Linked DNA regions of Macaca mulatta. The protein of the gene in region 2 interacts with the protein of the main gene of each other region in a pairwise test. Links are inferred from orthologs where the notes say so. Each region holds a gene or a part of one and is shown on either strand. Other genes may lie near its edges.

The links.
Region 1: the proteins of SNRPN (region 2) and SNRPD3 interact in a two-hybrid assay, tested with the Homo sapiens proteins (2 studies listed by BioGRID, with this or other methods). The link is inferred for Macaca mulatta from reciprocal best matches to the Homo sapiens genes SNRPN and SNRPD3.
Region 3: the proteins of SNRPN (region 2) and CTBP1 interact in a two-hybrid assay, tested with the Homo sapiens proteins (2 studies listed by BioGRID and IntAct). The link is inferred for Macaca mulatta from reciprocal best matches to the Homo sapiens genes SNRPN and CTBP1.

Annotation. Positions count from the first base shown.
Region 1 is NC_133415.1:28,770,507-28,774,909, reverse strand, and holds the start of SNRPD3 (small nuclear ribonucleoprotein Sm D3), read left to right. Parts: upstream 1-1,555; 5' UTR 1,556-1,573; coding exon 1,574-1,699; intron 1,700-4,403. Other genes in the region: protein GUCD1, read right to left, coding at 1-126. UniProt on the Homo sapiens protein: Plays a role in pre-mRNA splicing as a core component of the spliceosomal U1, U2, U4 and U5 small nuclear ribonucleoproteins (snRNPs), the building blocks of the spliceosome.
Region 2 is NC_133412.1:4,999,116-5,002,761, reverse strand, and holds the end of SNRPN (small nuclear ribonucleoprotein-associated protein N), read left to right. Parts: intron 1-100; coding exon 101-252; intron 253-1,057; coding exon 1,058-1,169; intron 1,170-1,618; coding exon 1,619-1,771; intron 1,772-2,524; coding exon 2,525-2,663; intron 2,664-2,950; coding exon 2,951-3,076; intron 3,077-3,164; coding exon 3,165-3,202; 3' UTR 3,203-3,341; downstream 3,342-3,646.
Region 3 is NC_133410.1:1,286,403-1,289,667, forward strand, and holds the end of CTBP1 (C-terminal-binding protein 1), read right to left. Parts: intron 2,770-3,265; coding exon 2,642-2,769; exon of another isoform or gene 2,567-2,641; intron 2,241-2,566; exon of another isoform or gene 2,215-2,240; coding exon 2,097-2,214; intron 1,620-2,096; coding exon of another isoform or gene 1,617-1,619; coding exon 1,433-1,616; 3' UTR 631-1,432; downstream 1-630. UniProt on the Homo sapiens protein: Corepressor targeting diverse transcription regulators such as GLIS2 or BCL6. Has dehydrogenase activity. Involved in controlling the equilibrium between tubular and stacked structures in the Golgi complex.

The DNA.
Region 1 (4,403 bases), on a different chromosome or scaffold from region 2:
GAGGGGCCGGGGGCTGGAGAAAGACTCAATGCATGAACTCTGCGGGATTCGGGGAGGGAAGAAAGCGGGAAGTTTGGACCACCCAAACATCAGCGTCGCCTCACTAGCGCCTGGAAGTAAGTTCATTAGCTGCCCCCTCAATGTGCATGCTTCTTACATTCTGTATCTCTCCAGGTGAGTGTTTTTCAAAGTTTCCAGGCAGTAATCTTGAAGTCATTTCCTATGAGTTTTTTGAATCTTGAAGTCAAATCCTATGAGGGTTTTTTTTTTTTTTTTTTTTTTTAAAGTAGAGACGGTTTCACCATGTTACCCTGGCTGGTCTCGAACTCCTGGGCTCAAGGGATCCACCGGCTTCGTCCTTCAAAAGTGTTGGGACTACGGGCGTGAGCCATCGCGCCCAGCCGGTCATTTTTTAAAAAGTTCTTTGCATCTCTGCCCCCAGCTCCCTTTCAGGCAGTGGTCCCGTCATGCTTTCCACACTGTTGCAGCAGTTTTAACTGTTGCAGAAATTTTAACAAGTTTCTCTGCTTCTAAACCTTACGTTAGATCCATTTTGTAAATAAATGCTGCTACCTTTTCATTGTGTCATTCTTTACCTATAATTTTGCAGTGGTTCCCCACTATCTTCAGCATAAAATCTAGGCTCCTAAGGCTGAAAGCCAGGGATCCTCACCAAAGGAGCCTGTCTTTTCAACCTCATGTTCTCCTGTCTTAGGTGCACTTAGGTTCCAACTTTGAGTCGTCGCTCATGTCAATAAAAAGTTCACTACTTGATGCTTTTAATTAGGTCAAGTCAGGTGCTTTCCCTTATTTTCCTCCATGACGGGCATTTCCTGCATATAGCACGTTGTCACTTTGATATTTTCTCAATATCCTTGATGGTAAAGTAAGGGAAGGGTTAAAGAGCTGCATTAAAAGTACAGTCTCCTCTCCTAGATATGCATGGTCCTTAGGTCTGTATCTGCTCCTTCCGTAGGGTAGCCACCAGCTACATGTAGCTGTTGAGCACTTGGAATATGGCCACTGGGATTGAGGGACTGGGTTTTTTATTTTAATTCTATTGTGTTTTAGTTAAGTTTAATTTAAATAGCTACATGTGGACATGAGCTACTGTATTGGACAGCTCAGGCCTGTGTTATGATTGTCAAAATGTAATAATCTACAATTAAGGGTTGACAAATAACAGTGCAACAGATTAACATTCCAATCCCCCTCCCCTACACACACAGTATTCGCTAATGGTCCTTTAGCTGAAGATTAAGGGACATAGGGTAGCAGGGACACATGGTCGATGGGAGATGCTCTCTTTTCATTCCTGTTTTTACTTCTGTCCACCCCACCATTCCTCCTCACCCGACATCTTGCACATATTTGCCAGATAGTTTCCTCCAAGCCAGGAGCTGAGCTTTCTTTTTTCTTTTTCTTTGATAGAAAATGCAGCTTTGGCGTTTTTGCTAAGTTTTATGGAGTGCCAGGCCTTGAAGGAGGCATGACGTGTGCCGCATGCCTTCTCAGACTCTGAAAGATGAACTGACTGTTGTCTCTTTCACTGTAGAGCTCTCTTCCTGCCAAGATGTCTATTGGTGTGCCAATTAAAGTGCTGCACGAGGCCGAGGGCCACATTGTGACATGTGAGACGAACACCGGTGAGGTATATCGGGGGAAGCTCATTGAAGCAGAGGACAACATGAACTGCCAGGTATTCTGCTTTGCATGTGAGGCTGTGTGGGAGGAATGGCCCTGTGTCTTGAAGGACAGAAAGGTGTGGGTTGGGGGTCTTCTGTAAATTGTTCTCATTCAGCAGTGATTTCCTGAGTGCCTAACACATACCAGTCAGGTGCTGTTATAGGCTCTGGGGATGTGGGCATGAACAAAACACATAGTCTTGAGGCAGAAAAGCCATTTGGAGATTTGGAATATTTTACTTCGCCTTTTTTGTTTTTTCCATCCCCAAATTTGGGGACCTGTTTGGGAGAAGTTCCTTCAGTAGAATCCTTCAGGTTCAGAGCCATTATCCATTTGCCTCCACTTGCTTTGCAGTTAGGAGAATCTTCTCACATACTGTGTTTGTTTCCCTTTTCTCTTGGAGGAGGAGTCTCATTTGATTATTGCAACTACCTTGTGAGGTAAGCAGGTTTGGTGGTAGTCTTGTCATCCATAAAATAGGGAGAATGAGATTAAAGGACTCATCACTCTGATAGTAAATAATGGAGTAGTTTCTTGATACGGTGTCCTTCTCATGGCGCAGCTTTGCCTTTTGCATAGTCATCTGAATTTTTATAGCATTGTTTTTCAGTTGTATCTTCACACTTTCTTTGTTCTTTAAACCATTGGTTAAGAACTTGGACTTGGGAGTCAGAGAGAGATGTGGGTTTGATTCCTAATTATATGACCTTAGATGTATTAATCACTCAGTTTTCTCATCTGTAAAACGGGAGTGTTATTATTTTGGGTTCTTTGATGTAGATGCCAAGACAGAATTATGCAAGGTATTTATTGGGGGAAATGACAATAAAGGATAAAGGAACAAGGAAACAGTAGTAGGCAGGGAAATTTTCAGTCCGTGATGCTGGTCTGACTGGTGAAACGAGAGGGGAAAGAAGGAGGATTGAGCAGGAAGAACCTTAGACTACAGTGTAGTTTTGAGGAAGTCTCAGCAAGGCAGTGATTGCTCATTAGAAGAATCTAACATGGGGCAGAAATGGGCAGACTGGCACCCCTGGTGTGTTCATTCCATTGGCTGGCAGCCTGGGGAGACAGTCTCTCTCCCCAAGTTGAATGCCATGGTGGACTGCAAAGATGGAGATTGTCGGCTGCCTTCACTCCTCATAGCCTGTTTTCTTTTGGAGGGAGATCTGAGCAGCACACCCTTAAGACTGCCACAGGGATAATATCCACACCCCCAGGACTTTTACAAAGATCAGATGAGCTATATGTGTGCAATAGCTGCTCGGTGCCTCACATACTGTAAGTGTTCAACGTATGGTGTTTACTGCTTTTTTCCAGATGAGAAGGTCAGAGAGGTAAAGCGTCTTACACCACGGTCAGGTATCCTGACCATCTATTGGTTTGCGCCATTCATTTATTTGTGATTTTTCTGTAGCTTTGAGCGTCTATCATCTTCCTGCGAGGTTGACAAGCTTGGTCAGTTCCCTGGATGCAGAGAAGTAGACCTCTGGTGACTCAGGTTTATTGCATCATTGTCAATAGATCAGTTTATCTATTGACAGTAGATAGGTTTATCATCTCTCTTTCATATATCCAGACCTCTGGCTTAAGGCATGCTCATCCACTTTAAGGTACTTTAATTTGGTGAGGAGAATGCAGGACTTGGGTTAGTGAATCTTAATGGGTTTGTCATCTAGCTATATGTATTTGGACAACCTGCTGGGTTTCCAGGGCCTTTGTCATCCCATCCATAACATGAAGGTGTCTAACCAGATAACCTCGGTGGCCATTCAGAGATGCAGTCCACGTGACACAAAGTGCACAGAACTTGGAGTCAGACAGACCTGGAATCAGCTTGCAGCCTGCCACCTAGGGTGACTTGGGGTGAGCTTTGGACCTCCTTCGTCCTCTGGTCCCTCTTCTAAGTCAGGGATAAAAATAGCTCCTTGGCTTCAGAAGGAACCATAGTGCAGAAGAAATGAGTAGATGCATGTCACATGCCTGACCAATGGTGGGGGGGCAGCCACCTGCCTCCCTGCTTGTATTTGTATGCTAGTGCTGCCAATAACAAAGTTTCACAGATTGGGCAGCTTAGACAACACAAATTTGTTTTCTCCTAGATCTGAAGGCTGGAAGTCTGAGATCAAGGTGTTGGCAAGGCTGATTTCTTCTGAGGGATGTGAAGGAAGGATCTGTTCCAGGCCTCTCTCCTTACTTATAGATGACTCTCTTCTCCCTGTGTCTTCACTTGGTCTTCACTCTGTAGTGTTTCTGTCTAGATCTCTTCTTATAAGGATACCAGGCATGTAGAAATAGGGCCCACTCTAATGACTTTTCTTAACATAAAGTTTTTTTTTTAATAAAGTTTTTTTTTTTTTTTTTTGAGATGGAGCCTTGCTCTGTCGCCCAGGCTGGAGTGCAGTGGCGCGATCTTGGCTCACTGCAACCTCCGCCTTCCAGGTTCAAGCGATTCTCCTGCCTCAGCCTCCCAAGTAGCTGAGACTACAGGCACCTGCCACCATGTCAGCTAATTTTTGTATTTTTAGTAGAGACGGGTTTCACCATATTGGCCAGGCTGGTCTCGAACTCCTGACCTTGTGGTCCACTTGTCTCAGCCTCCCAAAGTGCTGGGACTACAGATGTGAGCCACCATGCCCGGCTTGCCTTTTTTTTTTTTTTTTTTTTTTTTGTGAGACAGAGTCTCACTCTGTTGTCCAGGCTGGAGTGCAGTGGCA
Region 2 (3,646 bases):
GGAAACCAGGCTTGGATTATATAAGGGCGGAGAAGAAACAGAAGATTAGAAGACTAGGGTGTTGGCAACCTGAACATGACTCTTGTCTTACTGCTTCCAGACTGTGGGCAAGAGTAGCAAGATGCTGCAGCACATTGACTATAGAATGAGATGTATCCTACAAGATGGCCGAATCTTCATTGGCACCTTTAAGGCTTTTGACAAGCATATGAATTTGATCCTCTGTGATTGTGATGAGTTCAGAAAGATCAAGTAAGCTGATTTGGGTAAATGGGGGTTGGACGCAGAGGCAGTGGGAAGGGAAGGCCAGACCTGGAGTAAGGGATTTCCAAGGGTAACTGAGGTAGGTAGGGAAGCTAAGGTAGAGCCAGTCTATTGTTTCACCTCTTGACCTGATCTCTGAATTAGGTCAGAGTCTGCATATAAACTCTTAAGTTTGTGAGACAATCATGGATTTATTACTGGGAATAAAAGTGTATGTTGTGCTCAAAATATTAAGTTATATTTATTTTTAAAATTGAGAAAAATGCTATTGTTAATTAATTGGTTGGCTTCTGCAGCAGTCTTAGACTGAATAAATCTGGGTTGAAATAGAGAATAATAATTGCTCTTCACGGTTGAGGAGTTGGGATATGGTTGCTATTTGTTATCCTCTCTTTGCCTATTACTGTTCGCATTATTTCAGTTGTGTCACCCTGTCATTATGATTTAATTATTTAAGTAATTTTTTAAAGAAATTTCCATTTTAATATGGAAACCGAAGTTTCAACTTTGTTTTCCTTAAAAGGCGTTTTACAAAAGAAATTCGTCTTGTTGTAGTGTTAACATCAAAGGAACATTCTGTAAAAGACTAAAGTTAGATCAGAAACAGCTTTACTATTTACCCTTTTATATTAACTGTTTACGGATTTTTTTTTGTTTGTTTTTCAGTGATAACTTAATATCTGTTTAGCATCGGTTGCCTTAATTGATACTTGAGGTTGTATAAATATTTTGATGAGTGAGTAATCTAGGGGTCACTAAAATTATCTCACTAAAATTTAATTCTGATTTGTAGGCCAAAGAATGCGAAGCAACCAGAGCGTGAAGAAAAGCGGGTTTTGGGTCTGGTGTTGCTGCGTGGGGAGAACTTGGTATCCATGACTGTGGAGGGGCCACCCCCCAAAGATGTAAGGAAGATGTAGAGCAGGACAGAACTCTAATTTGCAAGGACATCATATTATGTGAGATGTCTGAAATCACGGTACAGCACAGACACAGTTTAACATGGATTGTCAAATGTGCCAAGCACTTAGTATCAATTGTTGGTTGCCTATGCTATTTGGGATTAAGGGTTTTTTGGTGAATTATTCTGTGTGCTGGGCATTACCTAGGTGAGGGTAGGAGTTGCTGATTCATGTTTGCTTGGTATGTTTATAAAAGAGCTGTTTTCACAATTTGACAAATAATGCGCATTTTATCCACAAGATACCTCCATGGTATACTTGCTTGTTCATTTGGATACAGAACTAATACGAGATAAGTGTCTGGGAAAATGGTGGAGAGAAGTGATCTCTGATGCATAAAAATACTGAGAACTTGTAAATTGTTTGATTTTAGGCTATACATTTTCTTTCAGACTGGCATTGCTCGGGTACCACTTGCTGGAGCTGCTGGAGGCCCTGGGGTTGGTAGGGCAGCTGGTAGAGGAGTACCAGCTGGTGTGCCAATTCCCCAGGCCCCTGCTGGATTGGCAGGCCCTGTCCGAGGAGTTGGGGGACCGTCCCAGCAGGTGAGGAACCAGCGGAGGGTTTTATATTGGGAGAATGTGACTAAGCCAGAGGCCGAGGAGATTTAAAAACCTGAGTGTACATGTCATACTATGTAAAGGGCATATGGTCTAGGAGGAACCAACGGACAGATACACAGGAGGAAGGGAATAAAACTAGCTACTTAAAATGGTCATTGGGTGATTAAAATTACCTGAGTTACTCTTGGTAAGAGTAACTTGCCACTAGTGGTGAGTGAACAGAATGCCTGGATATACCTCAGTTGAAAAGATCAAAGGGCTTTGTGGATGTCAGTGTACTAAGATTAGTTTTTAAAATATGGGAATAGGCAGGTGCGGTGGCTTATGCCTGTAGTCCAGCACTTTGGGAGGCCACAGTGGGCAGATCACTTGAGGTCAGGAGTTGGAGACCAGCCTGGCCCACATGGTGAAAACCCCGTCTCTACTAAAAGTACAAAAACCTGCTGGGCCTGGTTGGGGGCACCTGTGATCCCGGCTACCCAGCAGGCTGAGACAGGAGAATCGCTTGAACCCGGGAGTGGGAGGCTGCAGTGGGCTGAGATTGCACCATTGCATTGCAGCCTGGGTGACAAGAGTGAAACTGTCTCAAAAAAAAAAAAACATGGGAATAATGAGAGAAGTACAACATTGCAACAGTTGTTTGTATCTAATTGGTCATTTTTCTCATTTATTTTCTGTGTTTGAATAACGTGAAGGTATGTATCACTTTGTTGGTTTCTCCCCTTGCCTTCTCAGGTAATGACTCCACAGGGAAGAGGCACTGTAGCAGCTGCTGCCGTTGCTGCCACCGCCAGCATTGCTGGAGCCCCAACACAGTACCCACCAGGACGGGGGACTCCGCCCCCACCTGTTGGCAGAGCAACCCCACCTCCAGGTAAGGGATTGGTGAACATTAAGACGAATTTGAATCTCTGACTAGAGAGAGCTTACTGATTTAAGACACAGCCTGAGAGCCTAACTCAGAATCCGGGGCATATGCTTCCTCCCTCTTCTAGGTACTGGTGTTTAATGAAAGACGTAGGAGAGTAATTGTCATTTAGAAATTATTTGACTCTTATCACTGTTGTCTGGCCCATTTCTTTAGGGATTATTTGGGCTAAATTCTAACAGCTTTTCTAAGCCGGTTTATAAGGCCTTTATTTCTACCATTTTTCATCGCAGGCATTATGGCTCCTCCACCTGGTATGAGACCACCCATGGGCCCACCAATTGGGCTTCCCCCTGCTCGAGGGACGCCAATAGGCATGCCCCCTCCGGGAATGAGACCCCCTCCACCAGGAATTAGAGGTGAGTGGGAGCATAGGGGCTTGATGGTTCAGCCAGGCCCCTGAATATGTGTATCCTCTTTTTCTCAATGTTTCTATTTCCTTTCCAGGTCCACCTCCCCCAGGAATGCGTCCACCAAGACCCTAGCATACTGTTGATCCATCTCAGTCACTTTTCCCCCTGCAATGCGTCTTGTGAAATTGTGTAGAGTGTTTGTGAGCTTTTTGTCCCCTCATTCTGCATTAATAATAGCTAATAATAAATGCATAGAGCAATTAAACTGTGAGGTACTGTTGTATATATTTTTTTGCCTGTTGATTTTGATGAGATCTTAAGTTACTGTGGATGAGGTGATGCCTATTAAGCAGTAGATTCAAATCATATTCTCTTTCATTCTTAGGATAAAAAGGTTTTCTGCTAACTTTCACTTTGTGCATTGACTGGTGTTGGTTAATAATGTTTTCATGACCCAGGGGGTTTTAAGTGGTTGTGCTGCTTCCCACGTGGCCTCCTGCTTCTCCTGTTACTAAGTCATGTTATCTGAAGGGAAGTGGGGATGGGATGAAAGCCCTTGTAAGGCCACCTATATAC
Region 3 (3,265 bases), on a different chromosome or scaffold from region 2:
GCTGATGTGCACAGACCACACTCCCCAAAGAAGCTCTGAGAAACCAGGAGGCTGGGATTTCGAGAAGGACGCCAGTAATCTGTTTTCAGTATGAGCTGCGGGCTGATACTACCCCTGCAGGGGTGTCTCCTCCTGCGGCTGAACATCCAGCCCAGCTGTGGGCCAAGGTGAGGTGCGACACCTTTTGGCTTTTTTGCACATTTCTGTAGGCTGGGTGACCCATGGTCGGGGGAACTTCCTCAGTCCTGACATCTGCTTTCCTTCCTCCTCCTGTGGCCCACAGTCTTCCCAGGTCACAGGCCGGCCTGCGGGAGGTATGCCAAGAAGGGAGGGGGTGGGCAGTGGGGCAGGCCCGGCCTGGCACACTGCTTCCCTCCCACAGGGGCACTTCGGGCAGGCCACCTCCAAGCCAGGACCCTACAGCATCCCACAGACCCAGTGGGCAGAGGCACAGGCCCGGTACACACAGAGACCACTGCCCAACCTGCCACTGCATTGTATCTGAGTCTCTCTTAGGCTGCCTACTTCAGAGAGGCTGAGCTAGGCCCTGGAGGTCACCAGAGCCAGGACTGAGGCTCACCCGTGTCCTCATGACAGAAAGCCACTAGAACAAATGCTAGGCAAACTGGCTCTTTCCGGGATTTTTATTTCTTTAAAATAATTCATACAAATGGTTACAGTCACAAACATGATTTTAACCAAAATATTGCTAGCCTACCACATCAGCAGGACGGCACTGGTGCAGACAGGGACGCTGCCACCCTCCACATCCCCAGGACAGATGTCGATGGGCAGCGGGCACGCTGGGCACCGCCCAAGCTTTTCCTTTTGGAGCCGCTTCGTGATGCCGTCTTTATTTGGAACAAGGGGGGGTTCATGCCAAATTAGGAAAAACAGCCTTTGTTTTGTTTTTCTAAATTATTCTAAAAATAAGACAAGCAGGTAGAAAAAACAATGCACTGTGTGGCATAAAAAGAAAAACGGGAAGGATTCATTGTCCTGAGAAGTTTGCCAACTGCCTCATTCTGGGGCACGTTCCAACATACAAAAAAAAGAAGAAAAAAAAAAACCAAAAGAAAAAAAAAAACCTCAAATTGACTTCCGAATGCTCCTTCAGGTTTTCTTTTTGTTGACAGCTAAGCAAACAGATCCTTTGTAATGTTCTAAAAACTGTACACAGACAAGAACGTTCATGGGAGAATAACTACTGACTTCTTCTGCTTAACGAGGAACGCGAAGGACACGGGGCAGAGCGCCCACAGGACGGACGACAAGCGACACGAGGCCCAGCGCTGCCCCCTCCCGCCTCCTGACAGCCCGGACCAGTCTCTGCAGTGCCAGGGCCGCCACACAGGCACCTCCTCCACACACTCTGGTCCGAGGGTTTCCGGGCCCTCTGCCCAGGCGCTGAGGCTGGAGAGCTCCTCCCGGGCTACAACTGGTCACTGGCGTGGTCTCTATCTGCCTCGGGCTTGACAGTTTGGCCAGGAGAAGGGGCATGGGGTGGGTGGGCCACAGGGGGCAGGCCATGGGACAGGGACATGGCGCTGGGGACGATACCTTCCACAGCAGCGGGGATGCCAGTGGGGGCCACGCCCACCACGCCTGGAGGGTACCTGCTGGGAGAGGGTCCGTCTGTGAGGCCCCCTACAGGCAGCCTGACCGGGCCCCACCTGCCCTCACAGCGTCTGCAGCACTGAGGGGCGGCTCCAGCGGGACCAGCAGTCAGGGTGAGGATCCCGCCTCCGCACGGATGCTCCCGCCTACGGGGGCTACTTCTCAGGGCAGGGGAGGGGAGCCCTGGTGTCTCCAGGCGACTTGAACATGAGGTCTTCGCCTCACCCAAAGCCCCCTCCTCCCACAGGCCCCGTGCCCACAGTAGTCCTGTGCGCACTGGGTCCTGAAGGCCACCCCAGCTCCTTCCAAGAGGCCCTGGTTCTCATAGGCCTTTCGGGTGAGGTGGGCCTTACCAGTTCCACCCAGATCCTCCAGGTCAGTCAGTGGAGACGCCGCCCCTCCCGCCAGGGGCTGTGCTGGGATCCAGGGGAAGCCTCGGGCCCTCCTGGTGGCTGTTCCGGGCCAGCGGGCCTGCTCACCTATAGGCGGCCCCGTTGAGCTCAGGGTGCACGACAGCGGGGTCCATGCTGGCCCAGTGGGTGGCTGCCGTCAGATGGTCCTTGTTGACACAGTTCTTCAGGCTGTCTGGGATCCGGCCTGGGAGAGGCAGGAGGGAGGAATAGCTGTGGCTCTCAGGGGGCCCCAGGAGCGTGGCCCACTGGGTTGAAGACACGGGCTGTAGAGCTCTCGGCAGTGTGCTCCTCCCTCTCAGCCCCGGGGCTCCCAAGGCATGGCAGGGTCCTGTCTCTCAGGGCACCAGAACCCTCGCAGCGTGGGGACCCCCAGCCCAGAGCATGTGCCCAGTTTGCTGAGGGACCTGTCTGCTCAGCCCAGCAACTTCCCAGCAGCTCTTGTGTGTAAGACGACGCCAGGGCTCAACCTGACTTTGGCCTTAGAGGTCCCTGCTGGGGGTGCAGTGAGAGCACCATGGGCCCTGAGCTGGCAGAACATGGGCCTGGCTGCTGGGCGGATGCGAGCCCATGAGCCAGGCCTGGGGCTGGCAGGAAGAGTCCCCCAGGCCCACCTGTGATGGCTCTGCGGATCTCCCGTGCCGCCTCCTCTCGCATCTCGATGGAAGCCTGCTCGCTGTACCACGCAGCGTGGGGGGTGCAGATAAGATTGGGTGCATCCTTCAGGGGGCCCTGGCTAAAGCTGGGAACAGCACAGCATGGTCAGTGCAGCCCGAGTGCTGTGGCTGGGTGCGGGGGGGAAGTGGCTGGGCACTGGAACCCCTGTGGGGGACCCTGCCTGGGACCCACAGACCCCACGGCCCCGCTCCGCTTGGCAGGCGGGCTGAGCACAAGAGCTCAGCCCCAGGACCATCAGACACACCAGGGGCTCCTGACAGCAGCGGGTGTGGGAGCCCAAAGGATTTAATCTCCAAGCCCCTTGGGGGAGGAGCCCTGATGGGGGGACATGCTGGCCTGGCCCCTCCCGGCCGAAGGTCCTGTAGCCCCAGGAGCTGCAGGCTGGTACTGCCCCTGCGGGGTGTCTCCTCCTGTGGCTGACCATCCAACCCAGGGCTGCCTGGGGTCCCAGGGCGCTGCAGGGATTGCAGGTCTGGACATGACGCCATGACTCCATGGCCAGGGCCTGTGGGGACCACTCACGGACACTGGGGCCTCACTCTCTCCTGGCTGGTGGGGAG